4 linked regions of the Callithrix jacchus genome follow. The protein of the gene in region 1 interacts with the protein of each later gene in a biochemical or structural test. Links are inferred from orthologs where the notes say so. Each region holds a gene or a part of one and is shown on either strand. Other genes may lie near its edges.

What was found.
Region 2: the proteins of NBR1 (region 1) and GABARAP form a complex in vitro, tested with the Homo sapiens proteins (3 studies listed by BioGRID and IntAct). The link is inferred for Callithrix jacchus from reciprocal best matches to the Homo sapiens genes NBR1 and GABARAP.
Region 3: the proteins of NBR1 (region 1) and MAP1LC3A form a complex in vitro, tested with the Homo sapiens proteins (2 studies listed by BioGRID and IntAct). The link is inferred for Callithrix jacchus from reciprocal best matches to the Homo sapiens genes NBR1 and MAP1LC3A.
Region 4: the proteins of NBR1 (region 1) and MAP1LC3C form a complex in vitro, tested with the Homo sapiens proteins (2 studies listed by IntAct). The link is inferred for Callithrix jacchus from reciprocal best matches to the Homo sapiens genes NBR1 and MAP1LC3C.

The regions. Positions count from the first base shown.
Region 1 is NC_133506.1:120,735,358-120,741,085, forward strand, and holds the end of NBR1 (next to BRCA1 gene 1 protein), read right to left. Parts: intron 3,657-5,728; coding exon 3,483-3,656; 3' UTR 2,116-3,482; downstream 1-2,115. Other genes in the region: TMEM106A (transmembrane protein 106A), read right to left, coding at 88-298; uncharacterized protein LOC144582689, read left to right, coding at 1,455-1,899. UniProt on the Homo sapiens protein: Ubiquitin-binding autophagy adapter that participates in different processes including host defense or intracellular homeostasis.
Region 2 is NC_133506.1:73,731,975-73,738,411, forward strand, and holds GABARAP (gamma-aminobutyric acid receptor-associated protein), read right to left. Parts: upstream 3,367-6,437; 5' UTR 3,244-3,366; coding exon 3,154-3,243; intron 2,585-3,153; coding exon 2,506-2,584; intron 2,366-2,505; coding exon 2,247-2,365; intron 1,820-2,246; coding exon 1,754-1,819; 3' UTR 1,326-1,753; downstream 1-1,325. Other genes in the region: CTDNEP1 (CTD nuclear envelope phosphatase 1), read right to left, coding at 5,044-5,104, 5,420-5,504. UniProt on the Homo sapiens protein: Ubiquitin-like modifier that plays a role in intracellular transport of GABA(A) receptors and its interaction with the cytoskeleton.
Region 3 is NC_133506.1:4,743,990-4,749,744, forward strand, and holds MAP1LC3A (microtubule-associated protein 1 light chain 3 alpha), read right to left. Parts: upstream 2,949-5,755; 5' UTR 2,802-2,948; coding exon 2,762-2,801; intron 2,667-2,761; exon of another isoform or gene 2,598-2,666; coding exon of another isoform or gene 2,591-2,597; intron 2,439-2,590; coding exon 2,383-2,438; intron 2,295-2,382; coding exon 2,188-2,294; intron 1,906-2,187; coding exon 1,743-1,905; 3' UTR 1,326-1,742; downstream 1-1,325. Other genes in the region: GPI-anchor transamidase component PIGU, read left to right, coding at 805-918. UniProt on the Homo sapiens protein: Ubiquitin-like modifier involved in formation of autophagosomal vacuoles (autophagosomes). While LC3s are involved in elongation of the phagophore membrane, the GABARAP/GATE-16 subfamily is essential for a later stage in autophagosome maturation.
Region 4 is NC_133520.1:43,982,263-43,988,850, reverse strand, and holds MAP1LC3C (microtubule-associated protein 1 light chain 3 gamma), read right to left. Parts: upstream 3,626-6,588; 5' UTR 3,527-3,625; coding exon 3,469-3,526; intron 3,368-3,468; coding exon 3,312-3,367; intron 3,157-3,311; coding exon 3,050-3,156; intron 1,202-3,049; coding exon 1,003-1,201; 3' UTR 18-1,002; downstream 1-17.

The sequences.
Region 1 (5,728 bases):
ATGGAGACTCAGAAGGGCTGCCCTAGACCAACAGACTAAGAACTTTCCCTGGATTCCAGCCTATTTCCAGAGCCTTGGGCCACTCACCTTGGGGAATCCTGCCACTGCCTTGGCAGGTGGGACATGTCACAAAGCTGGCACCAGCAGTTCCTTCACAAGGCACCCAGGAACAAAAAGACTTGCTGCTACTGGTACTGGAGTAGCTGGCAGCCTTGCTGCCAATGGTTGGATTGGAGGACAGGATTGACTTGTTCTCATTCTCCTGCCAAGAGCCCAGCTGGGAAAATGTCTTACCCATTCTTCAGGGTGGGGTGGGGGTTCACTAATGAGAAAAGACCAAAGTTCAGTGCTAAGCTTGTTAGCACTGAAGCCAGATGCAATTTTGGTTTGAGGTTCTCAAGATTTGCAAGGGGCCGGGCGCGGAGGCTCAAGCCTGTAATCCCAGCACTTTGGGAGGCCGAGGCAGGTGGATCACGAGGTCAAGAGATCAAGACCATCCTGGTCAACATGGTGAAACCCCGTCTCTACTAAAAATACAAAAAATTAGCTGGGCATGGTGGCGCACGCCTGTAGTCCCAGCTACTCAGGAGGCAGAGGCAGGAGAATTGCCTGAACCCAGGAGGCGGAGGTTGCGGTGAGCCGAGATTGCGCCATTGCACTCCAGGCTGGGTAACAAGAGCGAAACTCCTCCGTCTCAAAAACAAAAAAAAGATTTGCAAGGAACCCCACCACAGTTTAAGTAAGCTCAAGCCTAAGGAAGATAGAGTGTGGTTACATGGGATTCTCAGAGTCTCAATGCATTTCAACTCCTTTCATTATTGTTAAAGAGACCACTCTGCCTCAAAAGGGAAAAGAAAAGCAGAAGTTATTTCACTTTAAGGAACTTCTGTAAGTGAATGGCAGAGGATTTAGTTTTTCTCTGGAAAAGTTGCTGAGCTATCATTCACTTCAAAGGAAGGAAGTTGGATAGGGCAGAAAAGATTCCTTGAAACAAGGAGAGAGGAGGCCAGACTGGTCACAGGTGTGGTTAAGACCCCTAAGGAAGCCCTGGTAGAGAAAGCAGATGCCGCACTGCTTTCTCAGGCGGGGTAAGAAACCCTGAGGAGAAATCAGGGTCTTTCACTAGGAAAAGTCAAGGATAAATCTGGACTCTGTGTGGCACAAGGAGGCCGGCAAGTGAGCCACACAGATCTTTCTGGGCTAAAATACAGGGAGACTCGCCTCGTTCAGTTCTGGGATCCCAGGCTCCTCAGCTGCATAAGGGCGACATTTCAGGAGTGTGTCTTTGGGGAGAAGGGCCTCTAAGGGCAGAGTGGGCTGGGTTGGGCGGTGGTGGGGAGGAGAAGCGCCGCCTGCCGCCTTCAGGAGTCCTAGGGGACCGAATGTGTCGCACTAGAGAGTGAGGATACTAAGGACCCTGACCTCCCCGAAGGGCCAAGCTGATTCCGGGGTACATGGCGGCTCTGTCATGGGCCGACAGGGTGTGCGCGGACGCAGAAGGTGTGACTTCATTGAGGGAGGATTTCAAGTCCCACCAGATACCCCGAGAGGCCGTTAGTCAAGTTCGGTACCCGGGCACGGGGCGCCTGTGTGTAGGGCGAGGCGGCGGCACAGGAGGTCTCTTGACCTCCGAAAGGGAACGCAAAGAGTCTGAGGAGGGTCTTACCAGCGGACTATCGCAGCGACAGAAACGGCAGCAAGCGGAATCGAAAGTGGGGAAGCGGACACTCGCCTCAAGCTTTGACTCAGTGCCCAGGGAAGTCCCGCCCCAGCCCCTCTGGGCCCACCCCCTCGTCCCCGGGCCCGCCCCTTCGCCAAGCAGCGGCCTGAGACGCTCTCGGCTCTCCAAACGTCACCTGAGGCCCCGGACGCTGCTTCGGCAAGGACTAGCCAGTCCAGGTAGGAATTTCCAAGAACATTTATTTCACCATTCTTTAAGTGGTTACGTAAAATTAAAACGGAGCGGACGACCCGGACCTTCCTGGCCCTCGACTATAAAACGCCGATGGTCAAGACAGGTCCCGCCCATCAACCCAATTACAGACACCCAGCTGCTCCATCTTCAATCCGGAAGCCCTAATTAAAACGTTTTAAATAATGAACGGCCTGGTTGGCTTGTAGTTTTAATCCTGGTTTATTTAAGTAGCATTCAGGATAATACTGCAAATAAACATCATTATGGCTAATGACTAATTAAAATCACCATTCATTACAAATACCAACCAGGTTAGATAATACTATTTTAATTATCTTTCCCCCCTTCGGTCTGGGGTTCAGATTCTTCCTTTTCTGGAAGTCATTTTCATGGATAAAATGTTTAGCATTTTTTGTTACCTCTTCCTTCACCAACTCCCTTCTGTAAATAGAGAACTTGGGCCCCTGGACGAGCTCTGTCCCACTTACCTTGGGGTTAAACCAAAACTTTTTCAGCAACTTTGCCCTCGTCCAAGTTCTGCAGAACACCAGCTGCCTCTTCCTGTTCTAGGCTTTCTAGGGCTAGATACCTCTGAATGGACTTCATGCATTAAAGAAGTCATCAGCATTTCCTATACCTCATACGCACTAATTTACCCACCCTGAACTTTACTGACATTAATTTAGGAGCCTGCCTTTTGCTTTTCACATGTTTCTATTTCCCCCACTGTACTGTAAAATAAGATCTGCCCTGACATTAAGAAAAAAGGTAACTGTTAAATGTATTTTTCCCTTTAAATAATAGGACTTTTTTCCTTTTCTATTAGGTTAGCAAAATATTTCACACTACCTACTTAATTTTTTTTCCCTTAAATAAAAATGTATGCAGAATTACTATAACAGACATCGCTCAATAGGTGCTGGTGGGTTAATCAGCACACTCTTCCTCCTCTCACTGAAATGCAGAGATCCCTGAAAGTTGGATACCCTTGAATGCACCATGGAGTCTTTAGCAATAGTGCCAATTATTAAGTCTTGCAGGAAAATTACTTTCTCCTTGAGAAAGGAATAACAACAACATTTCTATCATGCTCTGGGTGTTATTTCAATGCCAAATAACTATGAAGCTTGGGGTAGATTACAGAAATTATGAGAATAGTTCTTGAAAACAACTTCCAAGGTTAATTTCTTTCAAAACCTGAAAATTAACAGATACTCCCATAAAATATCCACATTAACCAAAGAAAAATACCCAACTTCAATAAAAGCAGAAAGAAAAATGGTTCTATACGAACTTGAAGTTACACTTGTCGATGCACTAAAATAAAGGCGTTTTATCCAAATCAAAACTGTCTTCCTACTATTCTATTCATCCAATGTCTAAAGTGAAAATTTAAGTTCTGGTCTTTGATTTGCTCCCCCAAATACTGTAATAGGTACTGTCTTGGTAACTCAATGATGGGCTCTATACAGATTCATCAGATGAAAAATAAGCAAGTGCTTAACCCCAATGACAGAATAAAGATCATCTCTGAGCAGCAGGCAATTATTTAATACAAGGTCACTCCTCAATAACGTTGGCTGTACCAGTCGTTGTTGTTAATCTGAAGAAGTTCTGTCACAACCTGCAGGATGTTGTAATTATGTTTCTTCAGCAGCCGCAGGTTCAGCTGCCTGTCACAGAATCCCATTTCAAAGAGATGGGCCATCAGGGCTGCTGTCTGATCTTCAGAAACTAATGGCTGTGCAGAGACAAGAAAAGCAAAAAAGAAAAAAAAAATTCTGTATAATTTAAATGTTTATTTTGTACATTTTTATCATCTTGTAAGCATACCAGTCTTTCCAGATTTATTCAAAGTGCTAGGGAATTAGATTCAAGGCTGTGTCACTCCTGTGTACTTGACACCAACAGTTCGGACGAGGAAGGTCCTGTCTTACATTAGGTATGCGTGTACTTGAAGGAGGAGAAAAGGGAAACTGGGGAGCTAGTAAACTGTACTTCGTACTAGGAGGATGCTTCATGGGGGACTTTCAGGAAGAAGCATTTTTTGGCCAAATGAAGGAATGACAGCAAGGCCCAGAGACCTTGTGAACATAAAGGTAATTGTGATGGTGAGGCAAGTATGAGCAAAATCAAAGTGTTACTGAAAGATGGTATGAGAAATATTGTCAGACATGCATAGGAGCTGGACAAAAAAAAAAAAAGCTTGGGAAATTACAACCTGGGAAGTCGTCTTGAGTTTTTCTCCTCCAAAAGAATAGGTAAGAGAAAGTTAACCTTCATCCAAGTCCTGCAGTAGAAGCACTACCTTCCCAAATCCTCCTAATTATGCTGTTTGTTTGTTTTTTGAGACCAGGTCTCACTTTGTTCCCCAGACTACAGTGCAGTGGTGTGAACGTAGTTCACTGCAGCCTCAGCCTCCTGGGCTCAAGTGATCCTCCTGCCTGAGCCTCCTGAGTAGCTGGGACCACTGGTCTGCCTTACTACACCGGGATAATTTTTAAATTTTTACTAGAGATGAGGTCTCACTATATTGCCCAGGCTGGTCTTGAACTTCTGGGCTCAAGTGATCTTCGAACTCTGGCCTCCCCAAATGCTGGGATAGATGTGAGTCACCTCACCTGGCCTCTGGTTCTGTTATTGTCCCAATTTCACAGACTGGGGATGAAGCTGTGCAGCAGAAAGATTATTTAAACTTTGGAGGCAGACATACTTAGACTCAAACCCTAATCTACCATTTACTTACCACCATTTACTTACCAACTGTGCTATCGATTCCTTTATGAACTGAAGATGTATCAAACCTCCTACTTTGCAGTATTGTTGAGAAAGTATGTAAAGATGGGAATAGTATGCAAACATGTTGAGCACAATCTGGTATTTCCCTCACACCTGATTCCACTGTTCCCTTCTACCTTCTTATTTCAGAATAGATTATCCATCCTCTTTTCCAGGTTAATAGAATGTACCTTGCTTTGTATCTCATTACCTCTCATTATTTCAGAAATCTTCCTTCATCTCCAATCTGTCTCTCATCTTTATCATTAACCTCTTTCACTACTGGCTTGCCCATCTCTAAAGTCTCACCCATCTTTAAAAATGTTTGTCTTATGTATGCTAGCTTCTGCCTGTTGTAGCCTAGCTATTTGAAAGTGTGGCATACTTGCACACTCAAAGTCCTCACCACCCGTTCACATCTCTCTGTAGCCATGTCCCCCTTATTAAAACACCCTTCCTCTCCAGCACAGAACTCTCTCTTCATTTTCCTCCTAGTTCTGTTTTCTTCCAGAGTATTTTTTTCCTGATCCTTAAAGGTTGCTTCTTGCTTTCCCCATTATTCCTGGATCATCTCATCCCATCAGATGATTCCTGCTATAATCTCTAGACAAGTGACTCTTTAACCTTATATCACCAGGCCACATCCCTCCCCTATGATCTGGATGGATACACCTGGCCTGCCATATCTGTAGGTTCCTTATCTATGGACCAATCAACTAAGGGTTGAATATATTTGGGGGAAAAAAAAGGAACATGTACAAACTATTTTGTCATTATTCCCTGAACAATACAGTATAACAACTCTTTACATAGCATTTACATTGCATTGGGTACTGTAAGTAATGTAGAGGTGATCTGAAGCATATGAGATGCACTGGATGCAGTGGCTCAAGCCTGTAATCCTAGCACTTCGGGAGGCTGAAGCAGGAGGAATGCTTGAGGCCAGGAATTAGTTGCCCTGGGCAACATAGTGAAACCCCATCTCTTCAACAATTTTTAATTTTTTTTTGGTGCTATGACTTGGATTAAAAAAAA
Region 2 (6,437 bases), about 47 Mb from region 1:
CCAACTCCCCTAGCCCAGTCTCCCACTCCTCTTTCTCCAAGGTCTCTCAACTCCTCGCTCTCCCACCTCCAGGGCCAGGCTCCCGACCCCCTCCCCGAACTCCCCCGCCGGGCTTCGGGGCTCGACCTCCAAGTTTGCCAATTGATTCCTCGCCCGCCCCGCGCCGGCTCCGCGCTCCGTGCCGGTCTAGAGCTCACCTTCGGGGCTGGGCTCCGCCATGGCTTCCAGCATCGCCCCCTCCCCTCCTCCCGGTCCGGCGCCCCCCTCCCCGGAGCCGGGGATCCCGGTGCCGCCTCTACTGCTCGGTGCTCCTACTGCTTCGCTCCACAGAAGTGTCCGCCTCAGCCCGGTTGAGACGAGTCCGCTAGCCGCTGCCGCCACCTCCCTCTACCACTGCCTCCCGCACTCCCGGACCGGGCCCCCTCCCCCCGCGCCGCCGGCCGCCTGCTCCCTCCTCCTCCTTCTCTCTCCTCCTTCCCTCCTCTCCCTCCTCCCTCCGCCGGCGCCGAGGCGCAGTGCACCAAGGGTTTTGTAGTCCGTACGGGTTCAGCGGAAAAGGGACCGCATGAGCCTCCGGAACTTGGATTCCCAGAAAGCCACGGGGTGACGCAGGCGCACCAAACCGCTCCCCTCCCCCGGGGAGTGGCGGGGAGACCGGGAGCCGGAGGGGAGAGCGGAAATGCGCGCGCAGACCCCTGGGAGATGTAGGCTGGGCGGGACGATGAAAGAAGAGGAAGAAGGGATTAGAACTCTCGGCCACCATACTGCCTCGTTCTGCAGCTTCTTTCTTCCCCGGGGGACCGCCCCACTTCCGGCCTGCGGGAGAAATGATCACTGGGAGATGAAGTACTCCTGGCGATAATGGCTCCCTCCTCCCAGTCTTCTCCCTCCCTGATTCCACTCCTCCGGATCCCACTCGCCGGCAAAACTCTAGCCAAGTGACATACAACTGAGAACAGCCGTTTTACCAGCTCCTACACATGAAAATATCTTAATTAAAATGTTCTAATAAATGTCCACCTAAAGCAGGTACTTTCGAACAGTATTTTTTACATAAGCATATTTAACATTTAGTTTCACATATGTGTCATAAAACTAAAGTTTTATGAAATGATACTCAGTATTCCATTCCATTACAACAAAATCACCCTCTCTTTGCAGACCGGGAAAAGCTCAACATGAACAGAATAAATCAAAATATACTTCTATCCCTCCAGCTTGTACCCATTACTCTTCTTTCCCCACCACTGAAACCCACTGACGCCTTGGAAAGACTAAAAAACAGCGGGAGGAGGGGAGCAACACAAGGCAAAATTCAGCTCAGCTTGGTGGTTTCTTCTTTATTGATGTGCCTCTTACCTTCCCCCGACAATTTCAGTCCCTTCCAACTACCCCCAAAAAAGAAGGTAGTGAAAGGAAGGGATTGCTGGGGTTTTGAGCCCCTTGGGCAGTCAGAAAGGGAACAGAAACCAAAACAATCACTAGATGTGACAGAGACTGACAATCAAGAGTCTAAAGCAGAATGGGAAAGGCCGGCAGAGAAAGGGGAAAAAAGGAGAAGGGAGAGGTACAAGATGCCAACTCCACCATTACCCCTCCTAAGAGAGGCTGGAGAGAGAGCCTCAAACATTAAGAAGTGCCGGTCCTGAATAAGGGAGGTGGTATTTGAGCTTGAAGGAGGAAGAAGTCAAGAAAGGGGGGCCACCTCTCTCTTTGTAGAATGAGAGCCCCCTCCAGCTCAAGGGCAGCAGCTTCACAGACCGTAGACACTTTCGTCACTATAGGCAATGTACAGAAAGAAGTCTTCTTCATGGTGTTCCTGAGATGAAAGCAGAAAACTGTTCAGCAACTGGGCTCCTAACTTACTTCAACCAACCACCACCCAAACCAGTTTATGGTCTTCTAGAACCACAAACCAGTGCCCGACTCCTTCACTGACTCCAAGGACTAGCATAAGCAGTATAATCTCTGCAGTCCTGGGCAAAAAGACCTTAAACGGTTGTCTGCTGCTCTGGAAAGGGGAGGAGGACTGGGAAGAGTCCTGATCAGAAAGTTCCTCTAGCTCACTGTTCTCTTTGCGTCTCTCTACTCCTACTGTTCTGTTCAAACCCCCAACCCACTGCTATCATGAAATTTTAAGGCAAGTCAGGAAGCTAGTGCAAAACTACTGATGTAACAACACTTTCTTCCGCTCACGCTCTTCCAGAGGCTTCTCCAAAGCCTCCACCACTTCCAAGTCACCGTACCTGGTAAAGTTGACCCATTGTGGCACTGGTGGGTGGAATGACATTGTTGACAAAGAAAAACAAGGCATCCTCAGCTCGGAGATGAATTCGCTTCCGGATCAAGAAGTAGAACTGACCAACTGCAAAAGATACAAGGTGTGAGAAAGTCAGAGAGGTCAAAAATGCCCTCAAAAGAACAGCTGCTAGGTGGAGCCTCCTCCTGCAGAGACTGCACTCCCACCCACAGGAAGCAAGCCTGGGTCTTGGGTCAGGTTCCCACCTGTGAGATCAGAAGGCACCAGGTATTTCTTTTTGTCCAGGTCTCCTATCCGAGCTTTGGGAGCCTTTTCTACTATCACCTGATAAAGAGAGGATGAAAATGAGGAGGCAGAGGAATGCAGCCCCGCAGCTGCACCTGTCAAGAACTCAAGTAACAATAACCCTTGCACCTAAATCTACCCCAGACTCATCTGTCTTTGCACACGCGGTGCAGCCCTGAGTCCCAGAGATCCTGACCTTACTGACTGGAGTTCATTTAAATAGCCAGGATCCATCCCCCGAATAGGGCGTCACCATAAACAACTATCTTAATCAGATGGAGATGACTTGTCTGGGCCGACTAGTGCTTCAATCTCACAACCTCAACTAGCTGGGGGGATGACCACTTGAAGCTCAGGCTGTCAAACTCTCTTAAGGCCTCCACTCACAAATGCCAAGGTTTCTCTCTCCTGTCTACATCCCTCTCTACTCCAGGTCCACCACTACCCCACCCCTTTCATCCTCGGTCCCAGGGACAGCAGTTTCAGGGTCGCTTCCAATCCCGCCATAGCCAGCAGCCTGATCCTCCCGCTGCCCGTCCCAAATCCAAGGCCAGGCTGTGGCGTCAGCGTAAGCGTCCCGCGCCCTCCGCCCAGGCTACTGTCCTCACCGGCACCCGGTCCGGGTATTTCTTTCGGATCTTCTCGCCCTCAGAGCGGCGCTTCTCGAATGGATGCTCTTCTTTGTACACGAACTTCATCCTCCCGAGAACCGGGCTGGACCGGGCTGGGCTGAGGGAACCCGGGAGGGGGGGGCCGGACGGGGGACGGCGGCAACAGTGGCGACGGGCGGGCGGAATCAGCGGAGCGATCCACGAATTTGCGCCACTTCCCTATTCACCAACCCCGCCCCCGACTAACAGGACGGCCCCCCCGTTAAGATACGCCACTACCTCATCGGCACTAACGCTGCTAGCGTAGCAACACCCACTGACCCTCCCCCTCACGCCATTAGCGTAATCGCTTTGGAATTAATGTGTGGGATACGCAGAAGACGTAGCAAAGACGGTTGGTTTTCACTCATTGAAAATACCTCTAAACCTATTCCCCAACCTCCCCCTCAAGGAAGCTGGGGCTCAAGAGGAGTATGAGATGGTAATAACCATGAGACTTGGTTTCCCAAGTTCCTTTCGGAAATAACGTAGAGGAACAGCAGAGACAATTACAAGGTCGGCTATTCACAAAACGCGTTGCTACGCTGAAGGCGGCCGTTGACACCAAAACAAAGTAGTACCCAAGGGACAGAGATGATCTCCACAAATAAGAGTTCAAAAAGAAAACGGATGTTTGGAGAGATGTACAGAACGCTTAAGTACCAGGAATGAGTAGACCAATAGGGACTGGAGAGGAGGTCCAAGAGGTAAGGACTACGCCAGCGCGGAGGAACATCGCAGTTTGAGTGAAATCATGTGATCTCAGAGAGGGCGGAGCGTCACGTGGCGGGTGCGGAAAGTAGGGCCGGCTGGGGGGGCGGAAAGTAGGGCCGGCTGGGGGGGCGGGGCCAGCTGAGCAACGTCGGGGAGGGGCCCCTCTTCCGAGAGCGGAGGTCGAGGCGGCCCTAGGGGGCAGCGCCCGCGTAGTCTGTCCATATCAGTGCTCCCATCGAAGCCCGACGTTTCTCTAGCTCTACGCCCTTTGGCCGCCCAGGTTTCTCCTTTCGGCCTTCAATAGCCTACTGCTCCAAAGGTATCCTTCCACTCCACACCAGTGCGCCCATCCTGTCACTCGGCCCTTCCCGCCAAAGCATCTGGTGTCCACATTCACTATTGTATCCTCATGCTCAACAGCACCTTTCCCCGTGCCCTCGAGTCCAGCAGTAGGCTCTTCGCCCACTGCTCTGGAGACAGGGTGCATGTGAATAAAGTGCCCTCCCCTCACTTCCCAAAACCCCAGAGAAGGACCTAAGGGCCGCTTTGGTTTCAAAGTTATAATGCATGGTTTAAAAGAGAGGAAAGGAAAAAAGACAAAGCTGGTTACAGGTCTGAGGGAGTCTAAGGAGAGAAAAATACGAGAGTAAAGGGGGGACAAATTGAGGGAAAAACCAGTGGCCCAAAATCCCCGTATCCCACCCACAGCCCAGCCCTTGGAGCAGGAGTGAAGAATTAGATCAGTTTTGTACAAGAGTTTAAAAAAAATCAAATCACAACAAAGCTGACTTGGCTTCTCTTTGAGTCTCCTGGATCACCGTATGTCTGTCACTCTGGCCAGTCCTGCCTCTCCATCACAAACACTGTTTCAGCTCTCCTAGGCCTCCGCCTATGTCCCAATCTGGGGTTTCCACGGAGTGTGAACACGAAGTTAGAGTGAGGCTGCTTCAGAGCTCCCAGCCCATGTGTCCATCCAGACTCCAAGTGGAGTGTAGAGCTCCCAAGGGCAGCGAGGGGTGGGACGGGCAGACCCTGCCCAGGCAGTCCTCACATTGGACAGGGTATCAGACGGCATCCCAAGGGCTAGCCCTCCCTTTCCCCCCCACCCCAACTCAGGTGGAGGGGGAGCAGCTGTCACCAGAGCCTATGTTGGTGAAGGTTTCGGCTCAGCACGGAACGGACATCAGCAGTGAACCTAGGATGACAACGACAATAACTTGCATAGGTAGAGCTCCTTATATTGATACCCTCATAACACTAATATAAGATGCATCATTGGAGGGGTGGGGCATACATTATCACCATATTCACATGATTAGGTAGGTCCAATTTGCCCACAGCCTACTAGGTAAAGTGATGAGCTTTGACGTAAGAAGACCTGGGTCCAAATGTTAAATTCTTAAGGGAAGAGAGCTAAGTAAAACAGGACAAATGTTTTTTATTCCCTCTTAGGATCTCCCACCTCCTCCTTTCCTCAGAAATCCAAGGGTCCAGAGCCCACTTCCCTTACCTGAGGGCATCCAGCATCGGGAGCAGGTTGAGAAGGGCTGTGTCGCTGGGGTCACTGAACCAGGATTTGATGGGGATGGCATTGTCTAGGGTAGGTAGGTGAAAATGCAGAAGAGAAGAAACAGAATTGAAGAGAGACTGGGTGTTTTTCTCTTACTGTAGAGAAGGAGGAATTATTATTTAAAAATATATACCTCCCACTACCGGAAGTCAACAACCTAAGTAAAACTTTCCTGATTTATACTCCAAAATAAAATTAAGGTTTTTTTTTTTTTTTTTTTTTTGTAAGACTTCAGTCTCACTCTTCTCCACCAGGCTGGAGTGCAATGGCGCAATCACAATGAACTGCAACCCCCACCTCCTGGGTTTAAGCAATTCTCCTACCTCAGTCTTCCAGGTAGCTGGGATTACAGATGCCTGCCACCACACCTGGCTAATTTTTGTATTTTTAGTAGAGATAGGATTTCACCATGTTGGCCAGGCTGGTTTGGAACTCCTGACCTCTGGTGATCCGCCCAACTCAGCCTCCCAAAGTGCTGATGAAAAGAGGCGCAAGCCACCACGCCCAGCCTAAAATCAAGTTTTAATCACCAGATCTCATACTTATTGATGCTTCTAGTCAAACTTATTGCCATTGTGCCTCACTTGAAACACACTTGGCCTGACACAGTGGCTCACACCTGTAATCCTAATACTTTGAGAGGCCAAGATGGGAAGATCACTTGAGCTCAGGAGTTTGAGTCCACCCTGGGCAACATAACGAGATCTCATCTCTACTAAAACTCAAAAAATTGGCTGGGTGTGGTGTTTCACGCCTGGAATCCCAGCACTTTGGGAGACCCAGGTGAGCAAATCACGAGGTCAGGAGTTTGAGACCAGCCTGACCAACATGGTGAAACCCTGCTTCTACTTAAAAAAATACAAAAAATTAGCTGGGTGTGGTGGTGGGCACTTATACTCCCAGCTACTCAAGAGGCTAAGGCAGGAGTATCGCTTGAACCCGGGAGGTGGAGGTTGCA
Region 3 (5,755 bases), about 120 Mb from region 1:
ACTAGATGGACGGGCAGAGAACATTCCAGGCAGAAGAAACAGTAAAGATCCTGCAATGGGATTAGGTGGAGCCGGAAGAGGGTGGGCAGGGACCTGGGCAAGGTCTCAGAGCGCCAGGGAGTTTGAGCTTTGCCCTAAGGCATGGGAAGCCTTTGGAGGATTTGAAGGCTGGAAGTAACAAGACCAGATGTGGGTTTTGAAAAGCTCCCTCTGGCTGCCAGGGAGAATGGGGTGGGTGTGAGTTTGAGAGCAGGGAGCCCAGGGACCAAGCTTTGCTATTTAGATGACAGTGGCTGTCTAGAGTAGTGACTGTGGGGATGTATCGAAAGGGTAGATTTGAGTTTAGGTCATGGTGGCTTGTTGTATGAGAGACGTCTCAGGCAATTTTGTGGCCTGGGCACCTGGATGGAAGATGGGGGCATGGATGCCCAGTGGGAGAAGTGGGTTTGACAGGGGGAAGGTGAGTTTGATGTGGACCTGGCTGGGGTGGAAGTGCCTGTCAGAGGAGGGGGCACAGGCCTCTGGTTGCACAGGCACCAGGCTGGCATTCGAGGCCAGAGCTTAGGATGGAGGTGTAGACCATGGGTGGGGGCACGGGGAGTCTGGACAGCTTCTGAGAGGCCAACAGACCTTGCAGTGTCAAGTACGGGCCCTAAGGTGGGGCCCTGCGCAGGGCCTCTCCAGTGATTGTTGATTCAGGGCCAGGCAGGGGCTCTGTCTCCCATCACCTGCTAGCCTCTCAGGGGTCCTGGGTTCACGGGGTGGTACCCTGCAGCACCTCACATCCTCTCTCTCTCCCCCCAGATCCTGCTCATCTCTGATTACTTCTATGCCTTCCTGCGGCGGGAGTACTACCTCACACACGGCCTCTATTTGACGGCCAAGGACGGCACGGAGGCCATGCTTGTGCTCAAGTAGGCCTGGCTGGCACAGGGCTGCATGGACCTCAGGGGCGGGAAACTGGGCCAGGCCCTCCAGCCAGAGTTGCCAGCAGGCGAGTCCTTGGGCAGAAGAGGTTCAAGTCCAGGGTCACAAGTCTCTGGTATCAAAAGGGACCCATGGCTGACTGCAAGACCTCTGGGGAGGAACTGGGAGCTCTGGAAAAGGCAGGTGAGCAGGGCTTGTTAGGTTGTGGCTACTTAATAAATGTTTTTTGTTACGAAACCTACCCTGGGCCCATATCTGCATTGCACTCCTGGGGGTGGCCCCTAATGTTCTGGAAAGTACACACAGGTGTGTGTTTCTGGTATGTCAGAGCCCAGGGACGGTTCGGACAGCCCCACCAGCACCCTCCCCACTCCCAAGCAAGCAGCTGGAGGCATAGGGCCAGGCAGGCCTGAGCAATCTTTATTCTGCAGAGGGACAATGACCACAGATCCATACACCATGTGGAGATGGAGGGGTGGGGGGGCCAGTCTTTCAGGGGTGGGCAGGTCCAGGTAGTGGGCAGAGCCTCGGGTGGGTGAGGGGCAGGCAGGGGCCTAAAAAAAAAGATGAACCACACAGCAGGAGTGTGGGGGGATGCTTCCCACCTTCCCCCATCCCAGCCAGCACCCAGAGGGGCAACCCTAACAAAACCACTTAGGGGCAGAGGAGGTGGGTTGGTGCCCTCTGACTACGGGGCCACATCCCTGCCCAGCCCACCCCCAAGCAGAGGCAGCTCAGTTCAGGAACCAGGGGTTCTCTGGGCAGGGCCTGACCGGGCTTCCCCCCACTCCCAGGCCGACCCCCCTACTGCTGGCTCAGAAGCCGAAGGTTTCCTGGGAGGCGTAGACCATGTAGAGGAAGCCGTCCTCGTCTTTCTCCTGCTCGTAGATGTCCGCGATGGGCGTGGACACGCTCACCATGCTGTGCTGGCTCACCAGCAGGAAGAAGGCCTGAGTGGGGTTCAGCTGCAGGCGGCGCCTGAGGCAGGCGGGAGGGTGTGCGGCTGTGAGGGACGTGGCTGCAGGGCAGGCACAGCCCTGACCCCCAGAATGATTCCCAGCCTTTCACATCCATCCTCACCCCAGCTCTCACCTCTGACCCGACTCCAACTGCAGCCCCGACCTTGACCTTTCCAGCCGCGCCAGAACAGGGGCCCACCGCCTGGTCCCATCACTACTGACCCCACTCCCACCTCCTCTCGGCGGGAACCCGGCTCCCCGCCAGACCCAAGCTGCCTCCTGGCGGCGGCTGCCCACGCACCGGATGATCTTGACCAACTCGCTCATGTTGACATGGTCCGGGACCAGGAACTTGGTCTTGTCCAGGACGGGCAGCTGCTTCTCACCCTTGTAGCGCTCGATGATCACCTGGGAGCGGGGCAGGCGGGCAGGGGTTCGTGTCGGGGGCGCGCGAGGCGCGGCCAGGGCGGGGCAGGGCTGGGGGCACCGGACTCACCGGGATCTTGCTGGGGTGCTGGTCGCGGATCTGCTGTACCTCCTTACAGCGGTCGGCTGCGGATGGCGGCCGGACCTTGAGGCCGGGCTGAGCCGGGCCCAGGTCCTCCCCGTGTCTCCGCCCCGCCTGTCCCCAAGGGGCGGCCCCCGGCCCCGCCCCAGCTCCAGCCCCCGCCCCCGGGGCCGGCAGGCCCCACAGCCCCTAGCACCTATCATGGTGGGGAGGTGGGCGGCCTCCGCCCAGGCTGGAGTCAGCCTCCCATCCCGAGGGTCCGGCTGGGGCCTGACGTCACAGGACTGACGTCACCCGCGGTAGTCGGGGTCGGCCGGGCCCCCGCGTACCCCTGCTCCGAGCTCACAGCTTGCCCGCGGGGCCTCACCGAAGCTCCGCCGCTGCTTGAAAGGCCGGTCTGAGGGCATCGCGCGGGCCCGGTTGGGCGCGCAGGCCGGGGCTCTGGGACGTGGGGATGTGGCTGCGGTTTGGGGGCTCCGGGGGCTCCGTGCCTCACGCTGAAGGGCTCCGGGGCTCGCGCTGAGCGCGGCGGCGGCGGCTGCGGGAGGTAACTCGCCCGGTGACGTCAGGTCACAACATTCCTTAAAGGGGAGGCCGGCGCACTGCTCCCATTGGGCCGACGCACAACCTGCCCGCCCGGGCTCATGACGTCACGGCGCAGAGCCCCTGGGTCCCCGGCTCGGGACGCGAGGGGCGGGGCTCCTGGGCGCGTCACAGTCCTGTGACGTCATGGCCGGCCCAGGAGTCTCTCCCGGCGCGGAACTCAGGTGAGGCCTGGAGGGCGGCGGGGCTGCCAAGGGCTGAGGGAATGGGCGGGCCAGGCTGCAGCCCCGCGGCACCGCTCCCCGCGCCCTCACCGAGTCTGTGCCAGGCCTGGCGCGATTCTGGGCACCGTGGGAAACAGCCGGCGCCTTCTAGGGGCTCAGGACGAGAGACGGGAGAAGGTGCAGGAGGCACAGGATCAAGCAAGACATCACAAAAGAAGGCCCAGGTTTGCAAAGGAATTCTAGAATTGACAAGTAGAGCCATGGAAATTCAGGTCTCGGAGGATGAGGTGTAGGACAGCAGAAAAGAGTGCGCGGACCTGGAGGCTGATCGGAAGCAGCTCACCAGAGAGACAGGTGATGGAGAATAAAAAGGAAAAAGCCACGGATGGCAATGCCGGGAGATCTCACAGGCCGGGGCAGAGCTCCCTGCAGAGGCAGTTCCTGAAGGAGAGCTGCCAGAAGTGATTCTTAAAATCGGGTGGAATGCAAACACCGGAGATGAACATCTGGACGCTAGTGAATCTGCAGAACTCCAAAGACTATGCGATTTTAAAAGCGACCAAGGATGATGGATTTTAAAAATTACACCAATAACAAACTTCTCAGCAGCAAACGTAGAAGGCTACAGTAAAATGTAACGCTTTACACCTCGTTGACAGGAAAAATGCTGTCAACGAGGTGTTGATCCATGATTTAAGAGTTAAGAAGTAAAGATAGGTGGTGACAAAGAGCTTACACGAAAGACTGTTGCTGAAATTATTTTTGGGGGGTGGGACTGAGTCGTTCTGTCGCCCAGGCTGGAGTGCACTGGCGCAATCTCAGCTCACTGCAACCTCCACTTCCCGGGTTCAAGCGATTTCTCCTGCCTCAGCCTCCTGAGTAGCTAGGACTACAGGTACGTGACACCACACCCAGCTAATTTTGTATTTTTAGTAGAGACGGGGTTTCACCACGTTGCCCAGGATAGTTTTGATCTCCTGACCTCGTGATCCATCCGTCTCCGCCTCCCAAAGTGCTGGATTACAGGCGTGAGCCACTGAGTGCGGCAGCTGAAATAATTTTTAAAGAATGTACTTCAGTAACAAGCACATGGAACCGAAAAGGAAGAAATTAGATGGAAAAATGGTGAGCAAATTGGTAAACGTGAGTAAATCTAAACAAGCATGTAATATGCAACATGAATAATGATTAATTTGCGGGCTACAGAAACAAGATGTATGAGACGCAAGAACTTGGAAGACTGAGAGGGCAGAGTTAAGGTGTTCTCGGAAGGGTAAAGAGACTGAGCATTGTTAGGCTTTGTAAAGTTAGGTGAGTATTTCAGATATTTAAGAGGGATCATCAAAAGAGTAGAAACGGAACTGTAACTGCCAATGCCGAGAAAAGGGTGGTGATGGGTATTAAAACTAATAGCAAAGTAAAGCAAAGTAAAAGGGATGGTAAATAAATGGTACAAAACCCGAGGCAGAAAATGTGGTTTACCTTCATTTCTCAAAACACAGATTACCAGATCGGCCAAGAAAAAATAAAATGCAGCTCTATGCTGTTTACAAGAGGACATTTAAAACCTAAGGGCACCAAAAGTAAAAAGATGGCAGCTGGGTACAGCGGCTCACGCCTGTAAGCCCAGCTCTTTGGGAGGTCGAGGCAGGCTGATCACTAGGTCAGGAGTTGGAGACTAGCCTGACCAACATGGTGAAACCTCGTCTCTACTAAAAATACAAAAATTAGACAGGCATGGTGGTGCACACCTATAATCCCGGCTACTCAGGAGGCTGAGGCAAAAGAATCGCTTGAACCCCGGAGGTGGAGGCTGCAGTGAGCCACGATTGTGTCACTGCATTGCAGCCTGAGCAACAGAGCAAGACTCGGTCTCAAAAATTAAATTAAAAATTAAAAAGTTAAGATGGAAAAAGGTATGCTAGAGAAAGACTAACCAAAAGATGTACCTATAGAAAACTCAGACAAAATAGGCTTTCAGGCAGAAGACACTGGGGATAAAGAGGATCACCAGGAAATGAAAGGAGGAACTCTATGGAGAGAGAAAAGTTTTGAACTTCCATGTTCCAGGGTTTCTTAAGGCTGAAAATAGGCTAGGCATGGTGACTCATGCCTGTAATCCCAGGACTTTGGGAGACCAAGGTGGGCAGATAACTTGAGGCCAGGAGTTCAAGACCAGGCTGGCCAACATGGCAAAACCCTGTCTCTACTAAAAATACAAAAATTAGCTGGATGTGGTGGTGCATGCCTGTCATCCAGCTACTTAGGTGGCTGAGGCAGGAGAATTGCTTGAACCTGCTATGTGGAGGTTGCAGTGAGTCGAGATTGTGCCGCTACCCTCCAACCTGGGTGACATACCTGAAATCCCAGCACTTTGGGAGGCCCAGACTGGAGAATTGCTTGAGCCCAAGAATTCAGGGGTACAGTGAGCTGTGAATGCACCTCTGCATTGCTGCCTAGGTGACAAAATAAGACCGATTTCTTTTTTTAAAAAATCAGATTTTTATTTTTTCCATCTCAAAAAAAAGGGGAGGTTGCTGAAAATAGATTAAGAGTACAAGGAGAAATTGCCAAGTTCTCCATCTTAGTGGGAG
Region 4 (6,588 bases), on another chromosome or scaffold:
CCGAAGAATAAAGCTCCTTTAAAATAAAGAATGTTTATTTCAGAGTAAAGCTTGGCACCTAGTAAACATGTGCATTTAAATGACTATGTTGAGAAGTTACAGCTTTGGCATAAATATGTCTGGTATAGCAGGACAAAAAGAGAAAATAACCACATAGAGTGAACGCTGGGGAAACAGGATAATCTCTCTAATGACACAGGAGAGGGCGCCTCCAGGTGAGCTTATCATGGGTCACACTGGCTTCATTGGGTTCCACAGAGGCAGTCTACAGGCTGGAGGTTCTCTAGGCCTGAGCCCTGCAGGGCATCCCTGCCTACATGCAGGGAGTGAAATCCACTCCCCAATGGCCCTCCCACATATAGCACAGAAGACACTTGAAAAATATTATCTCCAGCTCATCACACAAAGCCATCACACAAGCCAACCATTTCTTATTTAGAATAGAGTTATATGGCTGGATGCAGTGGCTCACACCTGTAATCTCAGCACTTTGGGAGGCAGAGGTGGGTGGATCACCTGTGGGCAGGAGTTTGAGACCAGCCTGGCCAATGTGGTGAAACCTCGTCTCTACTAAAATTACAAAAATTGGCCTGGTGTGGTGGCATGCACTTGTTATCCCAGCTACTCAGGAGGCTGAGGCAGGAGAATCCCTTGAACCCAGGAGGCAGAGGCTGTGGTGAGCCAAGATCGTGCCACTGTACTCCAGCCTGGGCAACAGAGCAAGAACCTGTCTCAAAAAAAAAAGAGTTATAATTACAAAACTTTCAAGAGCAGCCCACATTTTTCTTAGAAGAACACAAGAGCATGGAGCACAAAAACTAAACTAGGAAGAGCCACCACTCTGCTGCCAATAGCTGGACCTGATCACTCCCAGCATCCCTGCTTCTCAGACTCCTCCATATACATACAGGAGAAATCCAATCCCTTCTGCCAGCGGCTGATACGTCTGTCAGAGCACCTGTTCTTCCCCACATGGGCTAGAGAGGATTGCAGGGTCTGTCCTCAAGGCTGCTCCCATCCCAGGGGGGCTGATGACTCCAGGCAGCCAAACGTCTCCTGGGAGGCGTAGGTCTTGTACACGAAGCCGTCCTCATCCTTGTAGTCCCTGTAGATCTCTGCCATGGTTGCACTCATGCTGACCAGGTTCTTGTTGTTCACCAGCAAGTAAAAGGCTTCTGTGTCTCTCAGGACCATGCGGCTCCTGGGGTGGGCAGGAGGGTGGTGAGGGGGTGACCTGTGAGGCAGCCCAGGGATCTGCAGCATCATGACGCTCAAGAAGAGGGAATTGCTCCCTCCTTCTTCCCTGAGATTTAGAAACTACAAGGAGTCGTAGTTGGGTCAAAAGGGTGAGGTCATTCCATGGATGAAATATGCCAAAACACGACGAGGAAACACAGCAGGGAAAGATGACGACACAAACCTGCTAAGCGCGCTGGACAGGCGCCGTGGCTCAGGCCTGTCATCCCAGCACTTTGGGAGGCTGAGGCGGGGGAATCACAAGGTCAGGAGTTCAAGTCCAGCTTCGCCAAGACGGTGAAACCCCGTCTCTACTAAAAATACAAAAGTTAGCCGGGCGTGGTGGTGGGCACCTGTAAGCTACTTGGGAGGCTGAGGCAGAGAATTGTCTGAACCCAGGAGGCAGAAGTTGCAGTGAGCGGAGATCACACCACTGCACTCCAGCCTGGGTGGCAGAGCCAGACGCCATCTCAAAAAAAAAAAAAAAAAAAAAAGTTAAGTAAATAACTTCTGTTTGCTATGAAATTAAAGCTGTTTCCCCAGGGGTACAAAAGTGATACATAGTCTCTCTGGCATCTCACTTTTTTTTTGAGATGGAATTTCACTCACTCTGTTGCCCATGCTGGAGTGCCATGGTGTGATCTCAGCTCACTGTAACCTCCACCACCCAGGTTGAAGCGATTCTCCTGTCTTATCCTCCCAAGTAGGTGGGATTACAGCCGTGTGCCACCACATTCAGCTAGTTTTTGCATTTTTAGAAGATACGGAGTTTCACCATGTTGGCCAGACTGGTCTTGAACTCCTGATGTCAGGTGATTCACCTGCCTTGGCCTCCCAAAGTGCTGGGATTACAGGCTCGAGACACTGCGCCCGGCCTGGCATGTCACTGTTGAACAGCCTAGGATGACACTTGGAAGGGATCTCCTGCCTTGAAGTGTGCCCTTTCCTTCCTGTGTTATTTCTGCGTTCACATCAAGGCGATAGGAAGGCAGCCATATTTAGTTGAACACGCTTCAAATGCCAAGGGCAATCTGAGTGCCCAGTTATCCCGGAGCAGATGGCAGTGTGAAAACGTAGGTGCCTAGGTGAAGGCTTGGCCTCACTTTAAGCACACTTCCTCCAGGTGCTCTAATTGGTGAAGCGGGCACAGCCCACCCATTCCTATCTTAGAGCTTTGAGCCTTCAGGTGGGCTATGTCCATGCAGCAGTGGGAGATGGGAGTAACTAGAATCCAATTCATTTTACACCCAGATAACTCCTCCCCAAATAACCCCAAAGGTTTGGTCACTGACAATTATACAGCCATCTTTGTGTAAAATAAAATAGAGTAATTTTTTCTTTCTTTCTTTTTTTTTTTGAGATGGAGTTTTACTCTTGTTGCCCAGGCTGGAGTGCAACGGTGCAATCTCAGCTCACTGCAACCTCTGCCTCCCAGGTTCAAGCGATTCTCCTGCCTCAGCCTCTTGAGCAGCTGGCATTACAGGCGTGCACCCCCACACCCAGCTAATTTTTGTATTTCTAGTAGAGTCAGGGTTTCACCATGTTGGCTGGGCTGTTTTCGAATTCGTAACCTCAGCCTCCCAAAGTGCTGGGATTACAGGCATGAGTCGGTGCACCCGGATTTAAAATAGAATTATTCTAAGAGCATCTTTTCAGGGCACTAGTGAATCTGAAAGATGACTTCAAAAAAATCTCTTTCCTCTCTTTCCCTGACATACCCCCATCCCCAAAATAAAACCACCTAACGAAGGAAACAGAAGAGCCCCCACACACCCCCGACACCTTCCTCCCGGGCACGCTCTGCGCCACCTACCGGATGATGCTGAGGGACTGGGTCATGGTCAGCTCCTGCGGGACCAGGAACTTGGTTTTGTCCAGCCGGGGCAGGAACTTCTCCCTGGGGTAGCGCTCCACTATCACCTGTCAAGAGCGTCAGTCCTTAAGAATGTGACTCAGAGTTCTCTGAGTCTTAGGATCTTGGAACAGAGAGAGGGAAGTTGTTGGCTGGTCTTGGTTTTTTCAAAGGACAGGTTCAGAACCCCGCCCCCCACAAGGGAAGTACAATGATGTCTTACCGGGATCTTGTTTGGGAACTTTGCCCAGATTCCAGCAACTTCCTCTTGTCTGATTGCTGTGAATATTTCAAGCACAAGAGAATAAGCAAACATCAAGAGAAAGCCAGATCCTCTCCTCTCTTTCGAGTAACCCAGAAAGGTACCCCAAGAAATTTACCCAAGCTTTTCCTCTGCTTGAAAGGTCTGACGCTTGGGATTTTCTGTGGAGGCGGCATTTCACTCAACAGCTTTGTCTGTTTTAAGAAAGAAAAGAAAAGAAGAACAAAAGTACTGCAACCAGGAACCTAATTCATTCCTCCAGCTGCTTCCAAACTGCCTGCAGGAGCCTGCAGGGGGCCCTTATGTAGAGCTGAGTGACATCAGGCCTCTGCTCACCCGCCTCCCCCTCCCCGAGCAGCACGAGGTCAGTTCTGGTGGAAATGGAATCGCCACCTACTTGCTGGTCAGAGAAAAGCCACTTTATTCATGACCAGTTCAAGATGTTTCTTTGCAAAAGAAATTAGGGTTTGTAATAAAATCATTGGCTAGGCAGCGGACCGTGGAGACGTAAAACTGCCTTATGCTGGCGACGTTTCTGTACTTCAGTAGAGAACCACCTTGAGAGGAGTCCAAGATGGATCCACCTCAGCCTGAAGTGTGCTGTGTAATTCTCACCACAGTCCGTGCCCTTTTCACAGAAGGAAACCTATACTAAGAAAGGTGAAGTGAGGCCGGGCGCAGTGGCTCACACCTGTAATCCCAGCACTTTGGGAGGCTGAGGCAGGCAGATCAGGAGGTCAGGAGTTCGAGACCAGTCTGGCCAACATAGTGAAACTCTGTCTCTACTAAAAATACAAAAATTAGCTGGGCATGGTGGTGAGCACCTGTCATCCCAGCTACTTGGGAGGCTGAGGCAGGAGAATCGCCTGAACCTGGGAGGTGGAGGTTGTGATTAGTCAAGATTGCACCACTGCATTCTAGCTTGGGCAACAGCGTAAGACTTGCCTCAAAAAAAAAAAAAAAAAAAAAAAAAGGTGAAACGATTTGGCCGAGGGCACACAGCTACACAGATGCAGTTTGGATTAAAACCCATAGTTGTCGGCCAGGCGCAGTGCCTCATGCCTGTAATCCCAGCACTTGGGAGGCCAAGGTGTGTAGATCACCTGAGGTCAGGAGTTTGAGACCAGCCTGGCCAACATGCTGAAACCCCGTCTCTACTAAAAATACAAAAATTATCCAGGTGTGGTGGCAGGAGCCTATAATCCCAGCTAGTTGGGAGGCTGAGGCAGGAGAATCACTTGAACCCAGGAGGTGGAGGTTGCAGTGAGCTTAGGTCCAACCATTGCACTTCAGCCTGGGCAACAAGAATGGAACTCCATCTCAAACAAACGAACAAGCAAAAACCCGAACAAACCCAGAGTTGTCACAAGGAAGTCCAAGTACAACACTCTGGTAGGTATATTTTGTCATTTAGTTTTCTCTGGGATAAAAGAAGGAAGGAAGAACAACTGCCCCCAAGATCTCCCTTTTAGAGTTAAGAAAATGGGCCTCTAGTCATACATAGAGGGAACAAATGCCATTTCTCCTATATTCTCATAACAAAAATCAGAACCCTAGGCCTTTTGGGTTTTTATAGAGGTTTTAGTACATCCGCAAGATTGATTAAACCGTTGGCCACTGATAATCAATTTAACCTCCAACCCCTCTACCCTCCCCAGAGGCTGGAGGTGGGGCTAAAAATTCCAACCCTCTAATCTCACCTTTGTCTTTCTGGTGACCAGCCCCCATCCAGAAGCTATCCAGGGACTGCCAGCCATCGGTCAACTCATGAACGTTAAAAAAGACACTTATCACCAGGCCAGGTGACTCATGCCTGTAATCCCAGCACCTTAGGAAGCCAGGGCAGGTGGATCACCTGCAGTCAGGAGTCCCATATCTGCTTGGCCATCATGGTGAAACCCTGTCTTCACTAAAAATACAAAAACTAGCCAGGTGTGATAGTGGGCACCTATAGTCCCAGCTACTCAGGATCCTGAGGCAGGAGAATCATGAGAACCCAGGAGGTGGAGGTTGCAGTGAGCTGAGATTGCACCACTGCACTCCAGCCTGGGCAAGAGAGTGAGACTTCATCTCAAAAACAAAAACAAAGAAAATTCCAAGAATTTTAAGAAGTTGTATGCCAGGAAATTTGATGAAAACAAAATGTATTTCTCAATATCACAAGGCCTTAGAAATTAACCCCCTGTGCCAGGCATGGTGACTCACGCCTATAATCCTAGCATTTTGGCAGGCCAAGGCTGGGGGATCACCAGAGGTCAGGAGTTGGAGACCAGCCTGGCCAACATACCAAAACCTCATCTCAACTAAAAATACACGCAGGACGAGGTGGCTCACACTTGTAATCTTAGCACTTTGGGAGGCCGAGGTAGGTGGATCACAAGGTCAGGAGTTCAAGACCAGCCTGACCAACATGGTGAAACCCTGTCTCTACTAAAAATACAAACATTAATGGAGACCATCCTGGTCAACATGGTGAAACCCCGTCTCTACTAAAAATACAAAAAATTAGCCGGGCATGGTGGCGCGTGCCTGTAATTCCAGCTACTCAGGAGGCTGAGGCAGGAGAATTGCCTGAACCCAGGAGGCGGAGATTGCGTTGAGCCAAGATCGCGCCCTTGCACTCCAGCCTGGGTAACAAGAGCGAAACTCCGTCTCAAAAAAAAAAAAAAAAAAAAAATACAAACATTAGCTGGGTGTGGTGGTACATGCCTGTGATCCCAGCTACTCGGGAGACTGAGGCAGGAGAATCACTTGAACCCGGGGGGAGATGGAGGTTGCAGTGAGCTGAGATCACGCTATTGCACTCCAGCTTGGGCAACAAGAACAAAACTCCATCTCAAAATAAAAATAAAAAAATAAATGAATAAAAAACAAATAAAAATAATGGCATCACTGAAGAGATAAGTGGCCTCATCCTCTTTCCCTGTCTTAAAAAAGAGGTATGCTGTCAGGTGTGACTATTAAGCAGCAGGTATGCAGTGTTCTGCACTAAAGAACCTTTCTTTCTTTCTTTCTTTTTTTTTGACAGAGTTTCACTCCTGTTACCCAGGCTGGAGTGCAATGGCGTGATCTCGGCTTACCTCAACCTCCGCCTCCTGGGTTCAGGCAATTCTCCTGCCTCAGCCTCCTGAGTAGCTGGGACTACAGGCACGCGCCACCATGCCCAGCTAATTTTTGTATTTTTAGTAGAGACGGGGTTTCACCATGTTGACCAGGATGGTCTCGATCTCTTGACCTT